Linked DNA regions of Cricetulus griseus. The main gene of each other region encodes a partner of the protein of the gene in region 2 in a complex. Links are inferred from orthologs where the notes say so. Each region holds a gene or a part of one and is shown on either strand. Other genes may lie near its edges.

The links.
Region 1: the proteins of Gnat1 (region 2) and Unc119 are in contact, whole or in part, in a crystal structure (PDB 3RBQ), measured with the Homo sapiens proteins. The link is inferred for Cricetulus griseus from reciprocal best matches to the Homo sapiens genes GNAT1 and UNC119. Residues at the interface, in NP_000163.2 of Homo sapiens: Gly2, Ala3, Gly4, Ala5, Ser6, Ala7, Glu8; in NP_005139.1 of Homo sapiens: Asp87, Phe88, Val89, Arg90, Phe91, Ile105, Lys106, Lys107, Gly126, Arg127, Phe128, Val129, Tyr131, Phe137, Val147, Glu163, Leu172, Ser218, Tyr220, Asn230.
Region 3: the proteins of Gnat1 (region 2) and Pde6g are in contact, whole or in part, in a cryo-EM structure (PDB 7JSN), measured with the Bos taurus proteins. The link is inferred for Cricetulus griseus from reciprocal best matches to the Homo sapiens genes GNAT1 and PDE6G. Residues at the interface, in NP_851365.1 of Bos taurus: Ser140, Arg201, Arg204, Lys205, Trp207, Ile208, Phe211, Asp227, Val229, Glu235, Val236, Asn237, His240, Glu241, His244, Leu245, Ser248, Ile249, Ile281, Phe283, Glu305, Leu306, Met308; in NP_776846.1 of Bos taurus: Arg36, Gln37, Phe38, Lys39, Ser40, Lys41, Pro42, Pro43, Lys45, Leu60, Val66, Ile67, Cys68, Pro69, Trp70, Glu71, Phe73, Asn74, His75, Leu76, Glu77, Leu78.

Annotation. Positions count from the first base shown.
Region 1 is NC_048600.1:91,726,674-91,736,196, forward strand, and holds the start of Unc119 (protein unc-119 homolog A), read left to right. Parts: upstream 1-4,036; 5' UTR 4,037-4,150; coding exon 4,151-4,370; intron 4,371-5,185; exon of another isoform or gene 5,186-5,309; coding exon of another isoform or gene 5,310-5,316; intron 5,317-7,653; coding exon 7,654-7,767; intron 7,768-8,231; coding exon 8,232-8,334; intron 8,335-8,494; coding exon 8,495-8,667; intron 8,668-8,911; coding exon 8,912-9,024; 3' UTR 9,025-9,523. Other genes in the region: Pigs (GPI transamidase component PIG-S), read left to right, coding at 78-223, 605-705, 1,850-2,060, 2,356-2,631. UniProt on the Homo sapiens protein: Involved in synaptic functions in photoreceptor cells, the signal transduction in immune cells as a Src family kinase activator, endosome recycling, the uptake of bacteria and endocytosis, protein trafficking in sensory neurons and as lipid-binding chaperone with specificity for a diverse subset of myristoylated proteins.
Region 2 is NC_048597.1:215,856,858-215,866,346, reverse strand, and holds Gnat1 (guanine nucleotide-binding protein G(t) subunit alpha-1), read left to right. Parts: upstream 1-3,456; 5' UTR 3,457-3,733; coding exon 3,734-3,738; intron 3,739-3,826; coding exon 3,827-3,968; intron 3,969-4,053; coding exon 4,054-4,211; intron 4,212-4,319; coding exon 4,320-4,448; intron 4,449-4,623; coding exon 4,624-4,753; intron 4,754-4,922; coding exon 4,923-5,076; intron 5,077-5,195; coding exon 5,196-5,386; 3' UTR 5,387-6,728; downstream 6,729-9,489. UniProt on the Homo sapiens protein: Functions as a signal transducer for the rod photoreceptor RHO. Required for normal RHO-mediated light perception by the retina.
Region 3 is NC_048600.1:132,940,066-132,949,717, reverse strand, and holds Pde6g (retinal rod rhodopsin-sensitive cGMP 3',5'-cyclic phosphodiesterase subunit gamma), read left to right. Parts: upstream 1-3,693; 5' UTR 3,694-4,016; intron 4,017-6,308; 5' UTR 6,309-6,384; coding exon 6,385-6,530; intron 6,531-7,676; coding exon 7,677-7,717; intron 7,718-8,175; coding exon 8,176-8,252; 3' UTR 8,253-8,733; downstream 8,734-9,652. Other genes in the region: Ccdc137 (coiled-coil domain-containing protein 137), read right to left, coding at 1-4; Oxld1 (oxidoreductase-like domain-containing protein 1), read left to right, coding at 129-324, 681-1,231.

The DNA.
Region 1 (9,523 bases), on a different chromosome or scaffold from region 2:
GGGGTTCTCCCAGCCATGAAGAGGCTGAGCCTGGAGTCACATGTTTTGGTATCCTAACTCCTCTGTTTGTACCACAGGATCCAGCGCTGCCTCCCTGTACCCTGTGCTCAACTTTCTGCTCTATGTGCCTGAGCTTGCCCACTCCCCTCTGTACATTCAGGACAAGGATGGGGCTCCAGTGGCCACCAATGCCTTCCACAGTCCCCGCTGGGGTGGCATTATGGTAATAGTCACTGTGACTTATCAGTTTGCACTGGAGGTCTGTGTCCACCCTAGTTAGCTCTTGGCTTCCCTGGGGGAGTCTTACAATGGTGGGGCCCTTCTCTCCTTTATCCTCTGGTCTGTGGGTAGGAATGCTAAAATAGGATAATTGCTTTGAATTTCATAGGACTTCCGAGGGGGCAATTAGTATAATGTACCGAAGCTTCTTTCGTACTTAAGTACATGGGTACTCAAAATTTAAAAGGGGGGTGCTGTGCCCCTGGATTTATAACCTGTGGATACCAGATGCCATAGCCTCCTTTTCTTTGATGGCCCCTGAATACTAAGCAGAAATATGCGTGGTCCTGTGTGGTATTGAGGTTATTTTGTTCCCCATTTTCAGATATACAACGTTGATCCCAAAATCTATAATGCCTCAGATCTGCCAGTGAAAGTTGAGGTGGACATGGTGCAGGTGATGGAGGTGTTCCTGGCTCAGTTGAAGTAAGGCCCTGCATGACCTCTTTGGGGCTATGCCCATGGATGGTGTGCCCATCGTCTCTTTGAATATAGGCGAGATATAGCGGAATGAAATGTTGCCTGGGGGACTGCTGTGGAGTGCTATGTCTGTGCCTAGACCCGAGAAAGACCAAGAAAAATTTGCAAGTGGTCCTTCTCCTAAGGAAGACAAGCACCTGGCAAAGCTTCCTTCAGAAAAATAGAAGCCAGCTTTCCATGTGTGATTAGGGGTGTCTAAGAGAATAACTGTTGTGCACACCTTTAATCTCAGCACCTGGAAGGCAGAGGCAGGCATATCTCTGTGAGTTCGTGGCTAGCCTAGTCTAGAGAGGGAGTTCAAGGACAGCTAGAGCTACAAAGAAAAACTCTGTCTCAAAAAAAAGAGAGAGAGAGCATGAGCAACTATTTTATTATTTTTGTTTTCTTTTGAGATAAGGTCTCATCTTTTTTAAATTTTTTATTTTATTTTTTACTTTATGTGTGTGGCTTTTTTGCCTGCCTGTATGCCTAGTGTCCACAGAGACCAGAAGAGAGCATTGGATCTTCTGGAACTGGAGTTACAGATGGTTGTAAGCCATCAGGTGGGTGCTGGCAGTCGAACCCAGCTCCTATGGAAGAGCAGCCAGTGAGCCATCCCTCCAGCTCCTTGTTTTGTTTTTGTTTTTAAGAAAATAGCTATTTATTTTGTGCTAACACATGAATTGAGGGCAGTCATCTGATGCTCTACATCGAAGATGCTAAGGTGGCTTCTGGGCTAATCAGGACTGTATTCTTGTAATTGGCAGTACCTTGAGGCACACATGTCTTGTCAAAGATGGGCCTGCCATCCCTGTCCCATGGAGTCCATTTATTCAAAGAAAGGGAGGGAACCGGACTAAGTTGGGGCTAAAGAAACACTTAAACCACAGCACCATTTTCAGACAAGATCTTGGAACTCCAGTGTGGAAATGGAAATATTTGGTCAAGGTGGGGTTTGGAAATCTGGGTTGTTTGCTGTTGCTACTCATCTTTCCAACTCTGTTGTTCTCAGTGAAACCAAAAGTGACTGGCTTAAGACAGAGACTATGGGAATCTTAGCTTTGGCACCCCTGTTCACAGCAACTTTGGTCTCCCGGTGCCATTTCCACAGGCTTCTCTTTGGGATTACTCAGCCCCAGGTGCCTCCAAAATGCCTGCTTTCAGGACCAAAGAGTGAAGGCCTCATGACTTGGGAGCTGGACCGATTGCTCTGGGCTCGGTCAGTGGAGAACCTGGCCACAGCCACCACCACCCTCACCTCCCTGGCCCAGCTTCTGGGCAAGATCAGCAACATTGTCATCAAGGATGATGTGGCATCTGAGGTAAATGGGCTAGGAAGGGATGGGCCAGGGTGCCTGTGAGCATGCCATCCATTAATAAATACATCAGGCTTCCTCTGGAAGCCATGCCAGCTCCCCATGGGAGTCTAGGTAGGAACAAATGAAAGTTTTAAGCTGACCCTCAAGAAAATAAACAACCCTTTTTGACTAACTTCCACATAGCTTGGGTGGACTCCAGGAAACTTCCCTGGGAGACAGAGGGTTCTAAAAGGCCAGCACTCTTCCCCTACCCCATGCCCAGGGCATATTGCTAACTCCTATCCCTTCACCTTCCTAGGTATATAGGGCTGTGGCTGCAGTCCAGAAGGCAGCAGAGGAGCTGGCCCTTGGGCACCTGTCATCTGCCTTTGTGGCCAGCCAGGAAGCTGTGACATCTTCTGAGCGTGCCTTTTTTGATCCCTCACTCCTCCACCTCTTGTATTTCCCTGATGACCAGAAATTTGCTATCTATATCCCACTTTTCCTGCCTATGGCTGTGCCCATCCTCCTGTCTCTGGTCAAGATCTTTCTGGAAACTCACAAGTCCTGGAAAAAGCCTGAGAAGGTAGACTGAGCTGGGTGGCATGTCAGAGGTAGACTTCTTGTCTGGCCAAGCTAGGAGTGTTGGGCCAAGACACCAAAGTGAGGTTTGATGGTTTGTCTTCATTCTTCTCTGTTGGCTCTCCACCAACCAAAGGATGATGCTCAACGATGGACTCATCCTCCCTTCCCTCCCTATCCCACTGGCTTGAACTTAAAGGCCTTTGCCTGTCTACCCCTGGGCAGTGGCACCTTGTCCTTCCAGCCTGTCAGCACAGCATACTATGGCACTGAGGGGTCGATTTAGGGGAAATCCTTGGGTTAAATTGTAGCCCCCTCCTCTCCACTTCTAAGACTTTCTCCCTCCTTCCTCTCCTTCCTGACTGGTATCACCCATTGGGTACAGCCTAGCCTGGTCTAGGAGGCAGTGGCTTAGGAACTGGTTCCCCTCTACCCTTTCAGAGAGGCAGTGTGGTATAGGAGGAAACACTTCTGACTTAGAATCCAATAGGCCTGGATTGGACCCCTGCTGCACTGAGGTACTGGAGAGCTTTAGATAAGCAGCGCTTCTCACTGAGCCACAGGTTTTCATCTGTCGGAAAGCATTAATGACGTCACTCTCAGAAGGGCATTGGATTAAATGTGATAAGCATATAAAAGTGTTGTGTATATTGGGCTCTTTAAAAATATGTATTAGGTTGTTAATAAACATTGGTTGAATATGAGTTGATATGACATATCATTATTTTCACTCATGTGTGAGAAGCAGTCTGATCTGCCCTGAGCTCACAGGTCTTCCATGTCCCACCTGACTGTGGAGTCTGGGAATGGCTAGACACCTGGGCTGTGATATTTGCATGTTGTAGGGTGCCTAAAGCTGTGAATATATGCTTCTGCTTTTGAGCAGGAATTCTAGGGAGGAATAGCTTGAGCCAGTGACAGCCCTGGGATATTAACTCATCAGTTCAACAAAGGGAAATCCTGGGTACTGGCTGCCAGGAGCACTGTGCTAGCACTGGGATGTTATAGAGAACAGAGTATAGAGTATGGTTGCTTTCATAGATCTGACCTTTGAGGAGCAAAGGTCAGGGCACAAATACAAATAATTTTGCCTAATGCATTAGAAAAAAAAACAACAGGCTGGTTAGCTGGAAACTGAGAGGAAGTACTTTAGAACTGGGTGGGTGTGGGAGGTTGAGACTTGAACTGGAATCAGTTCAAGGATGGAGCTATCAGGGAAAGACCTTGAGGCTGGAACCCAGAGAGAAAGAGAGGTATTCAGTATACCTTACATTGTCCAAAAGAACCGTGAAGTTCAAGAGGACCCCAGGATCCTGACTCTACCGGAGGGGGTGGGGGGGGCGGAGGGGGGGAGATGCCAGTCGGTGGGCGGGGCATGCATGACGCGCCCGCTATGGGCGTGGACAAGGCGGGACGGCACCTGGGGCCCGACCGGGGGTGGGGCGGCGGACTCTTCCCCCTTCCCCCGACTCCAGCCAGCTCAGGCAGCAGACGCGGTAGCAGCAGGCGAGGATCCGCCGCCCCGCGAGGCCATGAAGGTGAAGAAGGGCGGCGGCGGGACCGGGACGGGGGCGGAGCCCGCTCCAGGGGCCTCGAACCGGAGTGTGGAACCCACGCGGGAGCCTAGGGCAGAATCCGAGTCCGGGTCCGAGTCGGAGCCAGAACCAGGCCCGGGGCCCAGGGTGGGACCGCTGCAGGGCAAGCAGCCCATCGGGCCGGACGACGTGCTGGGGCTGCAGCGGATTACGGGCGGTGAGCACCGGCAAGGGAGCGCCACCCGCGGGCTGGAGGGAGAGCTCGGGAGGGGGCCCACGAGGCTCAGAGTCCGGCCCCCGCGCTCACCCTTCCCCCACGCAGTGCCCCTCCTCTGTGTCCCTTTACTCTCCCTTTGCCTCCAAGCCTGAGATTTCTGTTATTTTCCTTGGTGTCTTGGTGCGCCCCTCCTCTACATGTAGTAGGGCTTATTTTCACCTCCCTCCTTCCTTTTCAAGGGGCCCACCCCTTTTCCCATGGTAGAGGTGGGGCAGCAGTTGCATCTGAACCCTTTCCCCTGTGGACTCTTTGAAGCTGGTCACAGAGGAGTGTGCCGGACTGGCAGTCTCTTAAGCACCTATCCTCTGGCGAGGTGGAGTCGAGGAATACCTCCAGGGTCCCTCACCCTGCTTCCCCATTAGGGCTAGCGCCATACTCTTCCCAGGAACGTTACTGATCGGGTGCTTCAGTCTGTTGGCTTGTGGGCTGTGTCATGGAAACAAGTGTGTGATCCCAAGCCTGGACTGGCTGGTACTTGTTTTTTTAACCAGGGCTCTCTCATCAATGGAAGCCCATTTTCCACTGGAGCTGTTTCCAAGCTGTGCTGCCTGGACTAGAGTCCCACTTTTGCCCCATAATTGGTTGTGTGACCTTGGGGATGTAATTTCATTTCCAGAGGCATGTTTTTTCATCTGTAAAATGGGAACAATGTTACCTCCCTCAAGGTTATTGTGAAATAAAGCCTGTCTCCTGCTTTTCGACAATGCTTGGCATGCTATGCATGCTATGTCAACAGGGCTTTTTTATCAACACAGGACTTGGTTCAGAGCAGCTGTCTGCAGGCAGATAAGTGAGCATTCAGGGCAGAGGCAGGCGTCACTACAGATGGTGAACAGGACTAGAGAGTCTTCTGGCAGAAGGTTGGCTGAGCCTTGAGGAATGGAAGGTATTTGGAGAGAAAGTGGCACACTGCCTTGGAATGGGTGGGTCACCAGCAACCTGCTCCAGCTCCCTTTGTGAGCTAGCAGTCCCTTTCTATGGGATGGACACAAGTGCTAGAGTGGAACCTAAAGCCTGGATGGATCTGCAGGAGCAGCAGAGCTGAGGGCTCCCAGACAGCTGTGGAGACCAGGATGGCAGGCCTGAGCTTGTGCATCTGGGTCCCTAGGGGCCTCCCTCCTCCGTTCAGAGCTAGGCAGCAGCGGCAGATTCTTGGCTAGACCTCCCTTGGACAAGCAGGCATCAGTGGAGGGGGGAGGGGCCTGGACCAGGCTGGTGTGGAAGCCAGTGGGCTGCATTTTGTAACAGCAGCCCATACAGTTCAATTTAGCCCTATGGGTGGGGGGCAGGATCACCTGCCTCACTCCTGGATAACTGAAGGCTTATTTTGCAACGAAGGAAGCCTCCAGGTGAAGTCACAGCATGGGTCTCCCAGTCTGGAGGGAATTCATAGCTTGTAGAGGTTGAGCAAGGACAAGTGCCTTGTGAGAGCCCTTTCCTGTGTGGGATTTGAAAACAGGGTTCCAGGCCTCTCCACCTTGCCTGCTATCTTCTGACCCTAATCACATAGGTCTGAGGTTTGCTGTTCCTGGATTACCAGGCCCTGAATCCGGCTTAGGGAGCTATTTGTGGCTACAGGGAGAGCAATTGGCTTCTGAGCCATTACTCTGGACTGACCTTGGGTCCTAGGCCTCTTGTTTTGCAGAGGGGAGAGAGTGGCTGCAGTGTCCTGAGCCCTAGGCAGCCCCTGACCCTCACTCCCTGCTAGGGCAGAGGGGCTGACAGATTGAGTTTTCAGTGTAAGAGACTAAGGTCTGGGTGTGAGAAGTTGTTCCCAGGGAGAGGAGAGGCTCCCAAGCTGGACACAGGGTAAAAAGGGAGGTTTTTCCTGGGAGTTGGGCAGCTAGGATCCTGCTTCCAGGTTCTGCCCACCCTCCCTTCCCTCTGCAGCATCTTCTATAGCTGTGGGGCAGACCTTACTGAGCTGTGATGGATAGGTCAGAGCTCAGCACCCTCTAAAATTTTATATAGTTTCTGCCAAGCTCCAAGGTGCTAGAGGGCTGTCAGGAGGGCTTCCTGGAGGGGGCTGCCCTAGGGAAGAGAGAATGACTTTGTATTCACTTCCTCTTCCAACCACAAGAGGAATAGGAGGTGGCCCAGGGGTGACTTCCGGCCTCTGTAGGTCAGCAGGGAGGATGTGGTACCTTAACAGCACCCAAGCCTCCCTAGCATTTTCTGCTCCTTCCTGTTTCTTGCCAGGGCTTCCCCTAGGACTTGCTATTGCTGCCATGAGAACAGTAAGTTGTATGAAGCAGGAAGAACAGGAGTTCAAGGCTAGCATCTGCCACCTAGTGGGTTTGAGGGTTAGCCTAGGCTACATGAGACCCCCGGCTTAGGAATAGCAACAACTGAAGAGAGGTTAGGGTCAGACCATGAACTCCCTAGGCAATGCCTAGCTTTCCTGGTTTCCTTCTGAGCCCAGGACTCTCCTTGCCTCATTCATATCCTGCTGCTCCAACCACACTCTCTTCTGGCTTGGCCAGAGAGCACTTTATCCCTGAAGGTGGCTCGAGGCCAAGGCTGGAAAAATGACCTCTAAGGATTCCCTCTGTTTGCTAAGATGTCCTCCCATTGGGAGAGCAGCAGAGGATCTGTTGAGCAAAGTTGGCCTCTTCTTCCCCAGTAGCCTGGCTCTGAGCTTAGTCAGCAGAGCTAGCATAAGCTGCTTATGTGGGAGGAGGGCGGGGAGCAAGAGAATAGGGAAGGGGTACCAACCTGCCTCCAAAATACCCATGCAAGGGGAAGTCTCCTCAAGATCAGCCTTGCCTGATGCATCTATGTCATGCCACAGGGTGTGTACTGGGGATGGGACACACTTCAAGGAAGAACTATAGCAGCCTTCCTTCAAGAGGCAGAGCTGCACGCTCCCTTTGGAGTGAGGTCCCCCACACAGGAGGTACACTTGTCCAAAGGATGCCTGCCAGTTTGACAGAGCAGAGGCTGAAATAAGGGTCCCCAAAATAGAGGTGGGAGGAAAGGTTTGGTAGAGGTAACCTCCCTTGCCTGATCCTGTGAGGCCACTAGGATGGGACTGTTAATCCCTGACAATGTCCTCATAACAGAATTCTGTCCCCTGCAGTGTGGAAACTTCTCCCAAATGGTCACAGTTTTCTTTCTGGAGGTTAGTGGCCAGTGGGATCAGAGTGAGCCTTGGGGTCCCACAGAAACTAAATTGACAGTGGTGTTTGGGGTCCCTGTTTGCTCACCTGCCTGTCTCCCCTAGACTACCTGTGCTCCCCGGAAGAAAATATCTACAAGATTGACTTCGTCAGATTCAAGATCCGGGACATGGACTCAGGCACTGTCCTCTTTGAAATCAAGAAGCCCCCTGTCTCAGGTGAGTAGGCTAGGTGGGCCACTGACAGGAAAAGGTGGGCAAACACAGTAGAATGGGCTCTCTAGGTTTCTCGAGTATCAGAGGGCCAGAACAGAGTCTAGACTTGGACCACAACATACTCAGGTGACCGTAGGCAGACAGGCCTCTTTTTCTGCTACTGTTTCTCAGGGTGGACATCTTGGGAGCATAGTCCCATTTAGTATTGGCCAGCCTGCCCTCTGCTGGCCTCCCTGAAAACTACAGTCCCAAAGACCTCCCATGATCCTATGTACATCCCGTGGCTCTGGGAACCCCTGAAAATTGATGATTTGTTGACACAGAGCCCTCTAGGTACCACCATTCAACCAAAGTGTACCAGAATCTTCTGGAGAGTTTGGAAAAATTCAAACAGTCCCTTGGGGGAGGGTGGAGGAGGCAAGGGCCCCAGCCTGAAGCCCACTGAGCCCAGCTGGGGTACATTGCAGAACGGTTGCCCATCAACCGGCGGGACCTGGACCCCAATGCAGGGCGCTTTGTTCGCTACCAGTTCACACCTGCCTTCCTTCGCCTAAGGCAGGTGGGAGCCACGTGAGTCACTGGGCTGGGGTGAGGGCTGGGGGTGAGTGCGAGGGTGGGAACAGCCCTTCCAGAGCCTCTCACTAGTGGTCTGCCTGGAGCCTGGTCCCTTGGTTGGCTGGCTGGTTGGCATGGAGGCTGCTCTCAGCCCTGCCCCCTTGTCTTAACTCAGGGTGGAGTTCACAGTGGGAGACAAGCCAGTCAACAACTTCCGCATGATCGAGAGGCACTACTTCCGGAACCAGCTGCTCAAAAGCTTCGACTTCCACTTTGGCTTCTGCATCCCCAGCAGCAAGAACACCTGTGAACACATCTATGACTTCCCGCCTCTGTCTGAGGAGCTAAGTGAGTGGGGATGTGTAGAGTCCAAGTGCGGGGGTGGGGTACAAGTGTGGTACCTGTACACCTAGTCCCCTTTCACCCATCCTGGGTCACCTCCCTACCCGGCACCACTCCCATCACCAGGAGGCAAACAGGCTCAGGGAAGCTGAGGAACTCTCTGAAGTGTTTCATCTGTCCCAGTCCTGAAGTCCTTAAAGTGCCATGGCTCAGGTTCCTGACCTTTGCCCTGGCTGGGCCTCTCTTGCAGTCAGCGAGATGATTCGTCACCCATATGAGACACAGTCCGACAGCTTCTACTTCGTGGATGACCGGCTCGTGATGCACAATAAAGCAGACTATTCCTACAGCGGGACACCCTGACCCCCACGCTGCCCCTGCCTATGAGGCTCTGGCCTAGCCCTTGTGCTGTGACCTCTCCAACATCATCTCAACTTGGGACCGGCTCCAGTGGCTCTGGACCCTGAGTCAGTGTTGGGAGGAAGGGTGCCCAGCATCCCTAGGCCAAGCCTCTGAAGCTCATGGGGCCTGCTTGACACATGGGGAAGGGCAATCGGGGAGACTGTTTGCCACTATGTTCTGGAAGGCCTCCTGGAAGCAGAGGACTTCTGGATACCTCCTTGGTCCACTGGGCCTGAGTTTCAGAATAGTGTTCCCTTCTTGAGGCTGTGACTAGATCAGGTTAGGGATCCATTCCCTATCCCCTGCCCACCACCTCCAGGCTATTTATAGTTGTCAGTTTATAGACGAAGATCCATGATGGGTGCCCTGGTCTCAGCCCTGGCTTCCTCCATCAAGGACCAAAACACTGCCCAAGGTGTGAGAGGGACGGGTCCTATTGCAGCCTGTGGGAGGACCTGGA
Region 2 (9,489 bases):
GCAGACAGATTTCTGTGAGTTTGAAGCCAACCTGCTCTTCAGAGTGAGTTCCAGGACAGCTAGGGCTTCACAGAAACCTGTCTCAAAAAAAAAAAAAAAAAAAAAAAAGAAAGAAAAGAAAGAAAGAAAAGAAAAGAAAAGGAGAAGAGTTAAACTCATGTTGGCATTTTGTTCATTTGGGGGCTGAAGAGATGGCCCAGAGGGTAAGAGCAATGGCTGTTCTTTCAGAGGACCCCGGTTCAATTCCCAACAATCACATGGCAGCTCACAACTCTAACTCCAGTTTCAGGGGATCCAACACCCTCACATAGACATGTGAAGGCAAAACACCAATAAAATAAATAATTTTAAAAAAAGGCTCCGCTAGGCAGTGGTGGCGCATGCCTTTAGTCCCAGCACTCGGGAGGCAGAGGAAGGCGGATCTCTGTGAGTTGGAGACCAGCCTGGTCTACAAGAGCTAATTCCAGGACAGCCTCCAAAGCCACAGACAAACCCTGTCTTGAAAAACCGAAAAACAAACAAAAACAACAAAAATAGTCGATATGTAGAAAACAGGCTAGTTGAATTAGCCAGGGCTCCTGTGCTGCTTTGCCCAAGATCCCTGTGGCACAGACGAAGCAGTCTTGCTCCTGAGTAGAACCTCCTCAGTAGAATGAGTGCCCAAAATGCATGAGGGTATCTACTTCCACATGTCCTGATTAGTGATAACTTCGTGCTCAGTGCCTGGGATGCTGACACCCCCCTAGTTGTCTATTGCAGAGTTGGGTCTGGTTTCAGGAAATCCAACGAAGAAGCTCGACTAGTACAGAGAGCCTTGAGAGCCGAAGACTCTCAATTGGGGTTTCCAATTGTATGTGGATGAGAAATCTCTAGAACCCAGGAGTTCAGCTCAGCAGGTGCCACATTTCACCAACTGCTACACCTGAGCAGGTCTCCACACCGGAGTCGGGGCTGTCAGGTTTTAATGGTGCCTATGCAGGTCTCCCATTGAGTGGACCGGATGGAAGAAGGGCAGTGGAACCCCCACTCTCCCATACTCCGGGGAGCACCAAGCCTCAGCATCCATATCTGACAATAGACCTGCCAAAGATTCAGAGTTTAGTCACTTCTGTAGTTCGTTTGTTGCAATTACATACATACACACACACACACACACACACACACACACACACACACACGTATGTGCATGGACTGGCACATACAAGCTCTGTACACACACACAGGGACATAGGTGTGCATCTAAATACAGGCAAGTGGGCTGTAGCATGTCTCCCACAGTTACCTACATTAGCATATCCAGGCACACAGGAATAAACAGCAATGAGCCCACACAAAGCACTGCAAAATAAACAGGAACACCTGTACCTGTAAGGCAAGCATAGGATGCTGGGGTGCAGCTCAGGAGTAAAGTATGTGTCTAGCATGCACGAATCCCTAGATTTGATCCCCACCATGGGCACAGGGCACCAATGCACATACACACATTGCATACATAGTCAATTAAACAGGTGTGTAAGGGCACATGTACTCAAAAAGCTACTACCAGGTGAACACATACATGCCCGTATACAGGCTCAAGTCATTACTTGGTCCTAGTAAGGAACAGAAAGACACACCCAGGCATGTATTTCAGACTCATCCTGCAGAAGGTATGTAGAGACCATGTTCGGGGTCACATTTAGCCCTGAGTGTGAGGCAAATATAAAGTCACCTATTGCCTTGTAGTTTCCAGCAGGCACAGAACCCTCTGATCCAGAGGGTTCACACTTGTGAACCACTGCTAAACATGTGACCCTGTGCTCCTCCTAACCAGTAAAATGGGGCTGTGGTTTGGGCAACACCTTCCCCCACGTTCCATGTAAGCTCACAGAAGAGTGGTCATGAACACAGTCTTGCGGGCAAGCAGGAGGTCATCTACTGCTTCTCCTTCAGTATTCCCCTGCCGGCCCCAGCCCCAGTTCTACTTCTGGGACTAAAGGGTCTTTCCCCTCAACTATACCAAGAAACTCCTACAGGACAAGGCATGGACTCTTCGGGTCTCTTCTGGAGAATTGGAGGAGGCAGAGGGGTGCGGAGTCAGCAGTCGAAGGATTGGGGCCTTGCCAGCCTGATTAAAAGGCTAGGAGACTGAGCTTCACCTGTCCTTGTCTCTGATTGGCCCTTGGGCATTGCTAGCTCCCAAATCCCACTAAGCAATCCCACCAGGGCCTGTACAGGTCCGTGGAGAGCCAGTTGATTGCCAGCTTTAGGGCCAAAAGGTTGTCTGAGGAGGCCAAAGGCTGCCTACCCTGTCCCTTTGCCTGCTGCTGGGACCATGGGGGCTGGGGCCAGTGCTGAGGAGAAGCATTCCAGAGAGCTAGAGAAGAAGCTAAAAGAAGATGCTGAAAAGGATGCTCGAACCGTGAAGCTGCTGCTGCTGGGTAAGGTGCTGTCCAGTGATGGGGAGGGGACTGCTGAGGGTCAGCAGCCTGGGGCTGGGCAAGCAGCCTTTCTATGGAGCAAGGATTCCTTGGGGGTGGGTGGGAATGACAATGTGGTGTGGCAGGGCTCAGGTGGGACAGGGCACCCCCACCCCCACACCCCCACCCCTGCTACGTCTGACAGGTGGTGATGGCTCAGTCTCCCAAGGTTAGGCATCCTATGGCAATTTCCTGTGGACACTCTTCTTTCTGCAGAAGTGAGTGTCAAACACCTTTGAATAAATGTGTGCATTCAGCCACACTTGTCCTAAAGGTATAGCCTTTGGTTTTCTGGGCCTGCTCAACAAGGCTCAGGTCTTTTTGGCGGCCCTTTCTCCCCTGAGAATAAGAAGCCTCTAAGGCCACTCATGTCCACAAAAGCACTAGGTGGCAGAATTTTATCTTTGGTGAAACAGCTAAAGAAAGAGGAACGATGCCAAGCAGTGGTGGCACACGCCTTTAATCTCGGCATTTGAGAGGCAGATGCAGGCGGATCTTTGAGTCTGAGGCCAGCTTGGGCTACACAGCAAGTTCTAAAATATCCAGGGCTACACAGAGAAACCCAGGTGGGGTGGAGGCAGGAGAGAAAGTGGAAAGATATTGTCACCTACAAGAATAAATAAAGCCCATGATCCCATGGGTAGTGAGGAGAGATGTGGTACTGCCATTGCTTAACCCCCAGGGGAAAGTTGCTAGTTTAGGGGGCAGGCAGAGGTACTAAGCCAGGGCCCCCTGGAGAAAGGCCAAGAAGCTAAGCCGGAAATCCCATTAATTATATCCAACACCCTTGAGGAGGGCAGGCTCAGGAAGGATGTCAGCTCTGTCCTCTTCCTCATCTAAGGGTGCTAATTCCCTCTGAGCCTCTCAGAGACATCTCTTTAGTCTGTAGGTGAAAAGCAGAGGTTGGTCCCATTCAGATAATCCTGTGCATACAGTACTGGAAATATCCACAAGGTGGCCCTAGAGGTTTCCTTATTTTGATATTGCAGCATAATAAAGGCTCTATATACCAGAATCTTGGGGCCCGTCCTGTGCCCGCACAGTTAAGATCACATAACTAATGTTAAGTCCCTTTTGTTATTTACAACCATTTCCCCCCAGGGGTCTTCAAGACTTTACTTTGGATGGAAATGAGAGCGAGTCTATCTAGAGTTCTAGCTAGCACCCCAGGGCTCTGATCCACAGGAAGTGGTCAGTGCTGGTCAGTGCTGCTCTGAGTCACAGCTTCCCTTCCAGGTGCTGGTGAATCCGGGAAGAGCACCATTGTCAAGCAGATGAAGTGAGTGAGTGTTCCCTGCCCCTAGCCCCTAGCTATAGCCCTTCCCTGCTGGCCCAGGAAGCTCTGACTCTACGGGTTTGGGCTGTAGGATTATCCACCAGGATGGTTATTCACTGGAAGAATGCCTCGAGTTCATAGCCATCATCTATGGCAACACTCTGCAGTCCATCCTGGCCATCGTTCGGGCTATGACGACGCTCAACATTCAGTATGGAGATTCGGCCCGACAGGTGAGGCAGGCTGATACCACTCCCTAGGGGCTCTGGGCACCCGGCTAGGCTCAGGTTCCCAACCACTACCTTGCCCTACCATCAGGATGATGCCCGGAAGCTGATGCACATGGCGGATACCATCGAGGAAGGCACAATGCCTAAGGAGATGTCTGACATCATTCAGCGCTTGTGGAAAGACTCGGGTATCCAAGCTTGCTTTGAGCGAGCCTCCGAGTACCAGCTCAACGACTCTGCTGGCTAGTGAGTGCACAAGTGCATGCTGGGAGCAGAGGAGGTGGGTGGGCAGGACCCAGCCCGGGGGGCTCTCCCACACCACTCCCCCTCATGCTCACTCACCCACTTCCTCAGCTATCTTTCAGACCTAGAGCGCCTGGTGACTCCAGGATATGTGCCCACTGAGCAGGACGTGCTGCGTTCTCGTGTCAAAACCACTGGCATCATCGAGACGCAGTTCTCTTTCAAGGACCTCAACTTCAGGTGAGGGCCCTGCACGGCACGCTTGTTGAGCTGGCCTGCCCGGAGAGGGAAGGCCCTACCCCGGCCAAGAGAAAGGCTGGTCACCCCAGATGCCACTTCCTAAGAGGGCTCAGGAAGACAGGGGCTGCCGGTGGGCATGTCCAGGTGACCCGACACGGCTGGTTCTGTCCTGCAGAATGTTCGATGTGGGCGGGCAGCGTTCCGAGCGCAAAAAGTGGATCCACTGCTTCGAAGGTGTGACGTGCATCATTTTCATCGCGGCACTGAGCGCTTACGACATGGTGCTGGTGGAGGACGACGAAGTGGTGAGTGCCCAGTTAGGCCTGAGTGTTTGCCAAGGGAGGTGGAGCCCCGGGAGCCACTGAGGCTGTCTGGGAGCTGTTGGAGTGAGGAGGCGCTCAAGTCCCGGGAGCCCAGAGACCGAGGGCAGCTGCCTGCGTAGCCTGGTGCCCAACAGCCTGCTGCCTTCCCCAGAATCGGATGCACGAGAGCCTGCACCTGTTCAACAGCATCTGCAACCATCGCTACTTCGCCACCACGTCCATCGTGCTCTTCCTCAACAAGAAGGACGTTTTCTCCGAGAAGATCAAAAAGGCACACCTCAGCATCTGCTTTCCCGATTACGATGGTGAGCGTCCCTAGTCCCGGCCGCCAGGCGGCGCCCCAGCCCCACGATTCCCGCCGCGCAGCGCGCTCCTTCCCGCGGAAGGTCTTCCCGCGCAGAGCGAGTGCTGCCCTCTGCCGCAGGACCTAACACTTACGAGGATGCCGGCAACTACATCAAAGTGCAGTTCCTCGAGCTTAACATGCGGCGGGACGTGAAGGAGATCTATTCCCACATGACGTGCGCCACGGACACACAGAACGTCAAGTTTGTCTTTGACGCTGTCACCGACATTATCATCAAGGAGAACCTCAAAGACTGCGGGCTCTTCTGAGGTGGGGACCTAGCTAGCCAGACCTTCCACTGTCTTCCAACGTAATCTCAGGACCTCAACCCTGCCCCTAGTTCCTCCAGGCGTTCACTGCTCCAGACTGCCCCCCCTGCTGCCCAGGCTTTCAGGCTCCACCCACTACCAGAGGCCCCACCCACTACTCTCATTTATTTTGCTGCTCAAGGATGCTGAGGTTGCGTTCCCTTTTCTCTTCACAGATACCTGTATTCAATTATGTCCCTTGCTCCGAGACTCAGTAGCCCAGCTGCCCTGTAGTCCCCAATAACTCCTGTGCCTCAACCTCCGCTCCACTAGCCACACCCAAGCCCCGAGGCTTAAAGTGCAGACCCTCCCCCAATTCCCCAACCCCGCCCTGCCCTTCAACGCCTGGCTGCACTGGCCTCTTGGACCCACAGCAACTAGCCCCAACTAGGACAAGGCAGGACTTGGGACAGCTGGCGCTCACAGTGACTCAGCAGTGCCCAAGTGACCCGGTCTTCTGACGCCCTTCTGCCACCCCCACCAGCAGCAGCTCACCTGGCAGATCTCGGTTCAGCAAACAGCCCTCCCTGCCCTCCCCAGCTTTCATGAAGGGCTTGAGGTATCCCTCCCTCAAGCAGTCCTGCTGCTTGCCAGCAGGTCATTCCAGCCTGCTACCTGCATTTGACAAGCCCAACATCTGTCCACCCAGTGGTCAGTGACTGTCCCTCCCAGAAGCCCAAGGGATCCAAAGTCCAAGCTCTGGTCTAAGTAGGCTCACAGATAAATTAGTGACTTTGAGGTAGGTACCAGGGAGAGACACAAGCCAAACCCATCCCCAAGTACCAGTCTCAGGGCATCTCCCCGTCCCTTTCTCTCTCTGGGTCTTCCCCTCTGTCCTTGGACACTTCTGGACCCCACCTCCTCCACCCACACACAATACTGAGGGCTGGCTGATCAAGGTGTGGTGTATTGAAGGAGAGCACTATTGACATCAGCTCTGACCAATAATCAAGCTACGCTGAGGGGTGGCTGAGGGCAGAGTCCAACTCTATCGATCAACCATGGGCAAAGAATATCCCATGTGAGGTTCCAGTCGACTCCATGTGACTCTGCTGTCCCTCCGGATGTAGGGCCCCTTCCTGGAGAGAGTGAACTGAAAGTCATGCCTGAGCCATTAGAGACAATGTCCCACACCCCCAGCCACTCCTTTCTTCATCAAGCCGAAAGTCTTTACTTAAGCCTGTGGACCAGAGTCAGTGCTGCTGTTGTGGAGACACAGCGCTTCTGTCCAGCAAGGCTAGGGCGTCATCTGTACTTTCCCTTGGCTATGTTCACAGACTTAGCAATAAACCTTTGCAAAGGGTCTGCTGTCCTTTCTTGGGTCTGTGGGGGAAGCTTAGTTACCATGAGTCCTGGACATTTATTAAGTACTAGACGTCAGTGATGTAGGAAGATGACCCCTTGCAAGGTAAAGTGCCTGGCCTGACTTGGGCTCTGGAGATCTTGGAGGGGGTAATGGGTCCAACTCATGACCTTTGACCGAGACTGAAGGATATGGGAAATGTTAACCGGGGCAGCCTCAGATCAGCAGGGAGTTTTTTGTTTGTTTTATGAGACAGGGTCTTACTGGGTAGCCTAGGCTGGCTATGAACACCTGTACTCACACCCCCACACAGATACACACACCTGTACTATACACACACCTGTACTCACCTCCACACACCCCCACACAGATACACACGCACACAATCATAATCAATAACAAAATAGCCTTAAAAAACCCGGGGGACTGGAGAGAGATGGCTCAACACTTACAAGCCTTAGCTGCTAGCACAATTTTAATCCCAGCACTCTGGGAGGCAGAGGTTTGTGGATCTCTTAGTCCCAGGACAGCCAGGGCCACACAGAGAAACCCTGCCTCCAAATAAACAAACAAATAAATAACCGAAAACAAATAAAAATTTAATGTTAAAAAATAAATCAGGGGGCTGGAGAAATGGCTCAGAGGTTAAGATCACCGACCTCCTTCCAGAGGCCCTGAGTTCAATTCCCAGCAACCACATGGTGGCTCAAAACCATCCGTTATGAGATATGATGCCCTCTTCTGGTGTGCAGATATACACGGAAGCAGAATGTTGTATACATAATAAATAAATAAATAAATAAATAAATAAAATCTTTTTTAAAAAAATCAGGAACTGAGCATGGTGGCACATGCCTTTAATCTCAGCAGGCTGATTTCTGTGGGTTTGAGCCACCCTCGTCTACATGGCAAGTTCCAGGCCAACCAGGGATACATAAATGTGGGGGTTTTGTTGTTGTTTTCAAGACAGGGTTTCTCTGTGTAGCCCTGGCTATTCTGGAACTTGCTCTGTAAATCAGGCTGGTCTCAAACTCACAGAGATCATCCTGCCTCTGTCTCCTGAGGGCTAGGTTTAACGGCGTGCGCCACCAATGCCCAGCTTCAAATATTCTTTTACCACTCATAGTCCAGTATGGTGTCACACACCTTTAAAATCAGAATTAGGGCCAGTATGATGTCTCAGTAGGTAAACCACTTGCTGAACAAACCTGTTGCATCCCTAGAACCCACATAAAGACAGAAGATGAGAACTGACCCCACAAAGTTGTCCTCTGACCTCCATGCACGCGCGCGCACGCACACACACACACACACACACACACACACACACACACACACACACACACACTAAAAATAAAACTTTTTCCAGGTGGTGGTCGGGAGGCAGAGGCAGGCAGATCTCTGTGAGTTTGAGACCAGCCTGGTCTACAAGAGCTAGTTCCAGGACAGCCTCCAAAGCCACAGAGAAACCCTATCTCAAAGAAAACAAAACAAAACAACAACAACAAAAAACTTTTAAAAAATTAAAATTAGCTGGGCGTTGGTGGCGCATGCCTTTAATCCCATCACTTGGGAGGCAGGGGCAGGCGGATCTCTGTGAGTTTGAGGCCAGCCTGGTCTCCAGAGCAAGCGCCAGGATAGGCTCCAAAGCTACACAGAGAAACCCTGTCTTGAAAAAAGCAAAAAAAACAAAAAAAAATAAAATTAATGCAAAAATTCACTGTGAACAAAATTATAAAAATTCAAGAAAGGCATGCCAAGATTTATTGGAGCCTGAAATATACAGAAAAATATCTATTCCTATATATGTTTTCTTTTTCTATTTTTCTTTTTTGGGTTTTTCAAGACAGAGTTTCTCTGTGTAACAGCGTAACAGCTTTGGCTGTCCTGGAACTCACTTTGTAAAACAGTCTGGTCTCAATGTCACAGATATCCACCTGCCTCTGCCTCCCGAGTGTTGGGATTAGAGGCATTCACCTCCATGGCGGTTTCTTTGGTTTTTGAGACAGGATGTACTATGTAGCCTAGGTTGACTTGGAACTAGCAATCCTGCCTCCACCTACTAAGTGCTGGGAATGCACCATGCCTGGATCTTCTTCTGTGAACACCCTTATTTTGTTCCTTGGCCTGGACATTGGACCCAGGGTCTTTTCCATGCTAAAGAATTCTCAGTCACCTCATGTTTTTTTGAGATGTGTATCTATATAGATACAGAACATTAAATAGTTTTAACTTTTTTAAAAAAAAAATCTGGTGTCAGGAGTGGGGACTCACATGTAGAACCCCATCACCTAAAGAGCAGAGCCAGGAAGGCCAGCCTGGTCTACATAGTTCCAGGCTAGCTTGGACTATAGAGTGAGAACTTATCTCAAAAACAAAAACAAAACAAAATCAATCAAATGAATAAAATTAAACTCAAAGGTAGTTGCATTATATGGGTCATTTTTGTCAGTGCTAGGCTTAGGCCCTAAGGACAATGTGCCCACTGTGTGAAGCCATAGCCCAAACATCATTGCTTTGTTTTGCTCTCTTCATTTTGGCCTTAGCTGGCACCCAGGCTAAGCAAGTGCTCTGTCACTGAGCTACATCCCACATTACTTGAATCTTAAATATTTTATTTCTACCCAAAACATGACTTATTTCCATTTTATTGCCATGTTTTAGTGGCAAGATGCAATGATATTTGTGAAATATACTTCACAAATTTAAAAAATCATTAAAGTTTTAAATGCTGAGTGTGGTCATTCATATAGGTAATCTC
Region 3 (9,652 bases), on a different chromosome or scaffold from region 2:
CCATCGTTACTCCAGGAGCTCCGCGCACGAAGCCATTTCCGCCCTCTTGCAAGACCCCGCCCCATGAGCATCACTTCCGCTTCCTGCGCGCCTTCCCTGCTCCGTTGTCCCCCGCGTCGGCCCCAGCCATGGGGCTAATGCTGCAGAGCCTGTCCCGGGGAGGCCGGGTGGGAGCTGCGCTCTGCCGCTGGGCAAGTACTCGCGGGCCAGCGGGCCGGGGTGTCCCAGATCCGGGAGGCCTGCTCACTGAGGTTTCTTCAGGTTTGCGCCCCAGACGAGTTAGTGGGCAAGGGCACTGCAAGAGTTTAGTGACCAGGGTCGCGGGTGAGCATCAGACCCCAGGGTCTCTGAGGCGCTAGAGACGGAGAATGGGGTGACCCTATATCCTTTGAGCTTCTCCCGTGAAGGGATGGAAGGAGGATAGCCAGCATGGTCAGGGGAGGCGTGCTGAGTTAAAACCGGCTGGCTCTGTGGCCTTCCCCCCGTCCTGTCCAGGATCAGTCATGTGTCTAGTCGTCTGATCCAGAGCTGCTCCTCCTGCAGTCGTCTGGAGCTCAGGCCCCAGTGCCTGACACTGAACCCTCAGGCCCTTAGCAAGTTTCTTCTCATACCAACCAACCTGCCCATTTCCCAGATAGGGAAACAGTATACAGAAGTGAGCTATAATAACTTGTCTACAGTCCTGCAGGAAGTGAGGAGGCCGAGAAGGATGTTGAGCTGCCGGTCCAGTGCTAGGAAGGCTGAACATTACCCCTGTGCCTTACCAGCTTCCGGAAGAGTCACACTGAGTATCCCATTTTCGCAGGGGACACAGCAGTTCTCCAGCTGGGATTGCGGCCAGGGTCTTCCCCGAGGAAGACACGGTGTTCTTCACAGACACCATGCTCCGGTGCAAGCCACTGCTAGCTGCCGATCGTTGGGGATGGACCACAGGGAGGAAGGTGGTTTCCAAGCAGGTACAGAGGATAACAGGGAGCCAAAGGCCTCCCTGCCCCCTGAGAACCTCATGAGACCCCCGTACTCTCTGCCACCCGAGCTCCAGCCTCCCACAAACTGCTGCCTGAGCGGCTGTCCTAACTGTGTGTGGGTAAATTACGCAGAAGCTCTGCTGAGGCACTACCAGGATGGTGGGCAGCAGGCCCTGGCCATCCTTGAGGAGCATGTGACTGACGAGAACCTCAAGGCCTTCCTCAGAATGGAGATCCGCCTCAGAATGCAAAGTGGAGGCTGAGGCAGTGAGCAGAAGCAATCCCTGAGAAGCATCGGGGCCACTTTTGTTCTTGTGCAGCAACTTCACCTCCTAATAAATTCCCTGTGACAACCCAATCGTGTTGTCCCTCTGCCTGTGTTGTCAGATAAAGCATACATCGGCTAGCTGTGTGTCCCTGCTCAGCAGCCAGCTTTCCTCACCGGTGAAGATAAACCAAAACCCCTGTCTCCCTGAATACCCTGTGGCAGGAGCACCTCCAGGCCCCAGTGTAGCTGGGATGTCCTGCTGACCGTAAACTCTGGTTCCCCATCTGTGTGATAAATGAGAACCGTCACGTGGGAGGGGCCTAGCTGCTCCCTGTCTCCTGCTGGGTCCTGGGGAGATGTTCTTTCTTCCAAGTAGTAGTGTAGGGTCATCCCTTAGAGTTGTGAGCACTGCTAGAAACCAAAGCAGTTGGAGCATCAAGTTCCAGAACTAGCAAGGGCTGAGCTTAAATGTATCTGTTCCACTTACTTTGTTTAAGGGGAAAGCTAGGCTTGTAGAGTGACTTCCTGTTGGGTTTGAGCTGATAGGGCTTTTTCCATGTTTGGTGTCTTACACAGACCTGTGACAAAACCAACACCACAGAGTAGGGGCACTTTCTATTGGGTGACAGGTCACAGTTCAGGCTGACCTCTTGGCCAGATGATACGTGCCTTCCAAAGTACTCAGCAGAGGCTGGGCCCAGATAAACATGACAATGGTCTCAGACATTTGTGTAGCTACTTAATCTGGATTGAAACATGCCCTCCTGAAAAGAGGTTCAAAAGATAGTTGGTTTTCCAGACAGAGTTTCTCAGCCTTGGCTGTCCTGGAACACCTGGAACTCACAGAGATCTGCCTGCCTCTGCCTCCCGGGTGTTGGGATTAAAGGAGTGCGCCATACCTAGCGCAGGTAGACAATTGTTCCCATCTCCAGGAAATGTTAACACCAGTGGGTCCTACAAAAATCAGAATTTCCAGCATTTGACAATTGTGGCAAAGGCCAGTAAGGCCATGCAGTATGAGATGCCCTCCAAAAAAAGTCATTGGCCAGCCCTTTGCAGTACGCCCAGGTCTGCTTCTAGGTGTGTGGCACTCAAGTTCTCGGACTCTACCGCACTGGCCTGCATCTTATTTTGCCTCTGTTAAGGCGGAAGCTTCACCCCAATAGCTGATATCCATACACCCAAAGAGTCTGGGATGTTAGCCCCCTCCCCCATCTCCCTCCAAACCCTGCTGCATCTCAGAAAGCCCACCAAATGATGGCGCCTCCCCCAGAGATACTCAAGACCACTCCCACAGGGTATTTAAACTGTCCCCCAGAGAACAGACTTGTGGTTTTTCTGGTCTCACTTTCCCATCTCCTGTCTGGGGGGCTGGAAGCCCATTCGGGAGCGCTGTATCCATTAAACGTGGATTACTGCATCATCGGAGAGGTTTATCAGGGTGTAGAAACTTTTCAGCCTCCATCAGTTTAATCCCCAGGTACTTATGCCACCAAGCATCTGTGAAATACCCCATAGTGGTCCAGACACTAGCAGTATAACATGCCTCCCCCAGAAGCAGGCAGATCTCCATGAGTTCAAGGCCAGCCTGGTCTCCAGAGCGAGTGCCAGGATAGGCTCCAAAGCTACACAGAGAAACCCTGTCTCGAAAAACAAAAACATGAATAAATGAATAACATGTCTCCTCTTACTACTTCAGTGCAAAAGACAAAGGTTAACAGAAGAGTCATGCAGAGTTGGCTGTGTTGGCTCATGCTAGTAATTCCAATACTTGGGGGCAGAGGAGGACAAGGAGTTCAAGACCATCCTTTGCTGCATGACAGATTGGATGTGGGAAGTTTTATTGGGGGAAGGCAAGGGGAGGTAGGGGAAGGGAAGGGAGTGAGGGGAGAGAGAGAGAGAGAGAGGGAGAGAGAGAGAGAGAGAGAGAGAGAGAGAGAGAGAGAGAGGCAAAAACCTGCTTGCCTCTTCTGAGGAACAGTAAGAAAGAGCATAAGACCATATTTTTTTAAAAACATTTTATTTATTTATTATGTATACAACATTCTGCTTCCATGTATATCTGCACACCAGAAGAGGGCACCAGATCTCATTACAGATGGTTGTGAGCCACCATGTGGTTGCTGGGAATTGAACTCAGGACCTCTGGAAGAACAGTCAGTGCTCTTAACCTCTGAGCCATCCCTCCAGCCCCATAAGACCATATTTTTAAAAAGAAAAGAAAAACAAAAAGCTAATCTTATCCAAACATACAAATGAGTGTAAAGAAGGAAAAAAAGCTGAACTGAAATATGTGTTCTACCCTAGCCTGAGGGGCTCTAAGACACTGAGGCAGAGCTCTAGAGGCCCCAGAGGAGGAAGCTAGAGGAAACGTGGACTACATAGAGTAGCAGGGTTGGAATGCGTCGTGTTGGGGGTGGGGGGGGGCTGCCACATAGAGCATCAAGGTCCACAGACAGGTTTCTCCATGGATGGAACAGAAAGGGAGGGTCGCCCAACCAAGAGCTGTCTAGAAGGTGGCCCTGTTGTTTCTGGAGCTTTACTCCCACAGCTGGTGAATATCATACTCCGCCTCCCCTTGGATGTTCTTCCTTCAGGCCCTTGTCTGCACCTGAACCCCTTCTGACCGCCCCCAGCAGCCCAGTGGCTCCCTCAAGGCCCAGCAATCTCATTCGTGTAGCGTCAGAAGAGAGAGACATAATCGGCTCACCAGCAGGAGGATAAGTTCCTAGGTCCAGCCGACGGGACCCTGTGGCTCCCTGAGACCTGCCCAGTGCTTGGTGAGTAGTGACCCATTTTGTTGCCCTTTCCAACAGCCAGGTGTCTGCTCATTCAGAGCTGGGGTCGGGGGACATCAACAGGCTTTTACCGTCTCTACTGAGCTCTGAGTCTTTAGAAGCTGGTCCCCTATCCCTGTCCTGCCAGCCACCTCCTCTGCTTCTCCTCAATGTCAAATGTCCATTACCAAGGCCAGCCACCTGTTCGTACAACTGAATGGAACTAGCTTCAGTCTGGGCTAGGCTTCTCAGGCATGGTTTCCATGGAAACAGCACCGATCACTGGAGCTCTGTCGGGGGTGGCCTTTGGTTTGAGAAGTGTTTTACCACTGGGAAGTAAGGGATGGGTGCTTCAGGACTGAGCGGCCTGAGTGTAGTAATTATAAAAAGCAGCACGAGAGAGAAAGACACCACGCAACAGAGCTCACGTGGAGAAGTTTTTAATTAGGGGGAAGTGAATGAGAGAAGGGGGGAAGGGAGTGGGAGGACCAGGCTCTGGGGGCAGGAGCAGCAGAAGAGAAGAGAGTGGAGAGAGAAGCAGAGAAGCAGAGAGGCAGAGAGAGAGAGAGAGAGAGAGAGAGAGAGGAACAGAGAGAGAAAAAGGAACACAGAGAAGGATGGGAGGCGGGCAGGGCTCTTTTAAAAGGGAACACAGTGAATGTGCACAGGTGGTGCTCTTAGTGGCTGCAGCTGAGGGTGAATCCTGTCAGAACCCCAAGGGCAGGCCGGTGCAGACGCCTGAATACCAACACTGAGTCCTGGTCCCTGAGGTTGGTGCTGGCTGGCTTCAGGGACAAAGGCTGAACCTAGGAAGGGTGGGGGGAGCCACTGAGATTGACGTGGACGTTGACTACAACAGACTCATCCTTGTCTGCTGACTAGTCTCAGCCCCAATGTTCCAGCAGACCACTGACAGTGGCTTAAGGCTGGATCAGCGCTACACCACATAGGACTGAGGGCAGAGAGGGGCCTCTCCGAGGTAGTCCCTTGAACACCTCAGGGTCGGGGCGGCACCTCCTGTGTGGGCCACCTGTATTCAGCAGCATGTGAGGGTTATGCAGCTTCCTAGAAACTCTGGGAGATTAGGAGTCTCCTTGAGGCACTAATAGGATTACAGAAAACTGTGCTGTCCTTGGCAAAGTCACAGGGGCTTAGTGCTCTTAGGGAGAGGAGGAGGGGCCATCCTGTATAGTGTGTTCTAGGTTGTGGCCTGATGCAGGGCAGCAGAGTCCTCAGGTGATGTCTAACCAAGAAAAATCTCCAAGCCAGTGAGCCAGTGAGCAGCCTAAGGGAAGAATCCCAGGGTAACTGCCCTCCCTGAGACCTGCTTCTGGCTTGGCCCTTGGAAACAGAGCCCTGAAAGTGAGGGGCACCCAACAGGCCCCTTCTATTTTGTGGGGCATTATTCATTAGCACCAAGTCCAACCCCAAGGGACAGATAATAAGTGGAACCAACAAGTACATAAATAAGAACAAACAGACTTAAGGGGGCATGTAAATAAATGAGGAATTTAGCCAGAATGTGATATGAAAGCTGGGTGTTGGTGGCGCACGCCTTTAGTCCCAGCACTCGGGAGGCAGAGGCAGGCGGATCTCTGTGAGTTCAAAACCAGCCTGATCTACAAGAGCTAGTTCCAGGACAGCCTCCAAAGCCACAGAGAAACCCTGTTTCCAAAAAATAAAAAGAATGAGGTATGAAGAAATAAATTAGGACCTGGGAATATAGAATGACATGACGTAGAGTCAGAGGAGGCCTTCCTGAGAAGGGACCTGCCACCAGTGACAGCAGCCAGGGACTGATCACTTGGAAGAGATGGTGAGAGGCTGTGGGAATCGCTTGCAGGATCAAGAGGGGGCATCCTATGTTTACCATCCCAGGAGTCCTCAGAAGGCTTTCCACAGAGTGACATGGCTAGGTCAGATCCCAGGGGATGAGAGGGAGGGTGCAGGGATCAAGGGTGTTCAAGGAGAGATAGTAAAAAGCCCTGGTTTGCGACATGGTGGTGGTGGTGCAGCAAAAAGATTGTGTTTGATGTGAGTTAGGAGTATTGAATGGGCACAAGGGAGCTCAAGGGAGCTCATGAGTTGCCTGTGGCTGATAGCAGCGGGAGGTGCCTGATGGTGCCAGGAGGAGAGAGAATACTGGGAAGTGGGGGGGGGAGTAGGGTGGCAGGGTGGTTTCCTGCAGTGGAGACAACTGTCTCAGGGTGGCTCCTGGGTGTCAGGCCCTCAGCTCCTAAGGTTGGATGGGAAGAGCAAGAGCTAATGGGATTCCATCTGTCTGGTCTACCCCAGCCTGCATGAGGAGGCCAGCCCAGCCTGACCGAGTCCAGAAGCTAAGGGTCACTGCAGTGTCTCTGCCACCCTCACCATGAACCTGGAGCCACCCAAGGCTGAGATCCGGTCGGCCACTCGGGTGATGGGAGGACCAGTTACCCCCAGGAAAGGACCACCTAAGTTTAAGCAACGGCAAACCAGGCAGTTCAAGAGCAAGCCTCCCAAGAAAGGCGTCCAAGGGTAAGCAAACAGCAGAGGGGAACCTTTCACAGAAGGAACGCTGTTCCCAGGCTTCATGGGAGGACAAGGTTCCTTGCAGCAGTTTGTCTTCGTTCTGATGAATGGGGACTCAGGAGTTGGTTTTGGGGGAACCAGGGGCCCATTATTTACACCAGGTGCTGCAGCCAGGCAGGTCTGGAAAGCAGACTGCCTGAATCTCCTCAGGGATGTGTGTGTGCCCCACCATTCACCTGTGCACACACAGATACCTACATGTGAACACCTACAGACATTACCTTAGCCAGCTTTCTGTTGTTATGAGAAAATAACGGGACACGAATACAGTTTATATAGCTTTATATAGAGAGGATTTGTAGTGTGCACGGTTTTGGAGACTGAGAGTTCCAGGAAGGGTGGTCTCAGCCGATTGGACTCTGGTAAAGACCCTGTGGCTATATTACAACCTAGAGGGCAGTGTCATGGCAGGAGAGCTGTAAAGGAGACATCGTATGTAGTCAGAGAAAACAGAGCAGGGTGGTGGTGGCGCACGCCTTTGATCCCAGCACTCGGGAGGCAGAGGCAGGAGGATCTCTGTGAGTTCAAGGTCAGCCCAGTCTACAAAGCTACACAGAGAAACCCTGTCTACACAGAGAAACATAGAAAGCAGAGTAGCCAGCCTTTCCCTTACAGCCACCTCATCTGTAGAGTTGTAACCCTGTCCTGTGAGGACAGCAGCATCAATCCACGGTCATGTTTCCTTGTGATGCAATCACGCTCTACTTGGGACCCCTCTTAAAGAGCCACCACCTCTCAATATTGTTGCACACTGGAGACTAGTTTGTCTGTCAGGGACACACCACAGCTGGCACATTGAGACACACATGGCACCCTCACACTCACTCACACGCTCCACGTCACACTCCTGCAGAGACGCACAGCCCATACCCACCCAGACAACACTGTGTCGGTGCCAGCCCGTGTGTACCTGGGCTCATGCTTCCTTTCCTGGTCCTTGGCCTGTGGAAATCTGGGAAGCACACTAGTCCCATGTTGGTAAAAGAGAGCTCAGACCCTGCCCAGTAGCAGATGTTGGGGAGGAAGTCTGGTATGCAAGGGTGGCTAGATCTAGACCTGGAGACATCATCCTTGACCAATCTGTCCTTGCAGGTTTGGGGATGACATTCCTGGAATGGAAGGCTTGGGAACAGGTATGACGACTCAGGGTTGTTGCATGTGGGTAGCTCTCCCGAGTCCCTGCATCCCTCAGATACACTTCCACAGGTCCCAGGTTCCTCTCTACTGCCCGGCCTGCCTCCCATCCTGTTCCTATTTCTCTCCCAGCATCAGGCTTCAGATCCCACTGAGAGGGGTGGTCCCCATGGGGTAGGTTCACTAGCCACAGAAGAAACTTTTGCTGCTCCTTCCAACTTTGGGCTAGGGTCCCTTCAGCTTCCCATGTGGGTCTTCCACTTTCTTCTCAACTGGAGGCAGGACCCAGTAGATGGACAAAGTTGATGCTTCCTGCCTAGGAGGAAGATTTGCCATCAGAGTTTAGACTTGAAACCTAGGCAGGCATGGCTTTTATGTGGGGAGTGAAAAGAAAGGGAACAGGGAATGGGTTGGTCCCAGGGCCATGGAGTCCTCTTTAATCACACCTTTCCTACAGACATCACTGTCATCTGTCCTTGGGAGGCCTTCAACCACCTGGAGCTGCATGAGCTGGCCCAGTACGGCATCATTTAGTCAATCCCTGCTATGTGAGGCCTGTGGAAGAGGCCTGCTGAAGATCCACTCCACCCCACCACCCTCTGTAAGCCCTGTCCAGGACCCCTTCCCAAAGCCAAGCCTGAGTCCCTAGCTAGGTTGCCCCTGGCCTCCAGGTGGGACAGCTTCATCCCCTGATACCAGCTACCAAGAGCCATCAGCCTCCCACAGGACACTCTGCTGACCTGAAGTCACTGGTCAGAAGAAAGAAGGGAGGGGAACCCAGCCCCACCTCCCGTCCTTGTAGCTGGAATGCAGGAATGGACTCCCCAATAATGTCTTCCTGAACTGCCTTCTGTGCAGAAGAAAGCTCCTCTGCCTGCAGCCCTTCCAGATGGGTGTCTTGGGTGGGACACTGTCCTGGGGTGATGTGGTAAGAGGCTACTCCACCCATTATACCAGCCTTCCCAACATACTCTGTCCCTTGTCCCTCTTTCAAAATAAAATTAGCGTGCCCTTACTTATCTGAGGCAGGCACACTGATGGAGTGCGGCGTCAGCAGTAGGGCTGCTTTATCTGCGCCATGGATGAAGGTTCAGGGCAGGTGGAAGTAGCAGACAGTGTCGAGAATGAGAAATAGAAAACTCCCATTGAACACACACTGCACAGAGTCTTGGCTTAGAGGTCCTGGATATAAGCCTGGCCCTGACCCTCACTCCTGGTGGCCATAGTTAATGACGCAGACTCTCTAAGAAGGTAGGAAAGGACAAAAACTAGAAACCTAAACACAAGCGCCTAATGAGGATCCCCATGGCCCAGCCAGTCCATTCTGAGACTGGGCTGACACCCCACTGTGTACCCCCAGTAATGTGAGGATTCCACACATAGGCATAAGGCATATAGGCTCACACCTGGGCAAGCTCACCCCGAAGCACCCACAATTCTTAGGGTAAATGTACGATTATCCCTTTGAATGGCCAGAAAATGGCTTTCAGAAGGGCCCTGTGTGTTAGGTATTTTGGTGCACGGTTGTAATTCCAGCCTCGTGAGCAGGAGGCAGGAGGATGAAGATCATCCTCGGCTCCATAAGGAGTTCAAGGCCAGCCTGCGACACAAGGCTCCGTCTGAAGAAGAAAGAAGAGAACAGAAAAGAACAAGACTCCACTTATGAGACAGCCACATATTAACCCTGCTAACTCTACAGATGAGTCAGAGCTGGGGTGCCCTCGACCTGCAGTTGGCCCTAGCTGGGAAACGAGAAATTGTCTCCATTTTGATTTGAGGAAGACAGTCCCAGTCATCGAGAGATCTGTAGTTTACTCTGTAAATATGAATGCACACACCAATAAACAAGTCTTCCTCCTACCAAAAAGCTTTCTACAGGGTGTGGCCTAGACCATACCTTACATCTCACCAAAGACCAGAAAGCAGGAGGAAGC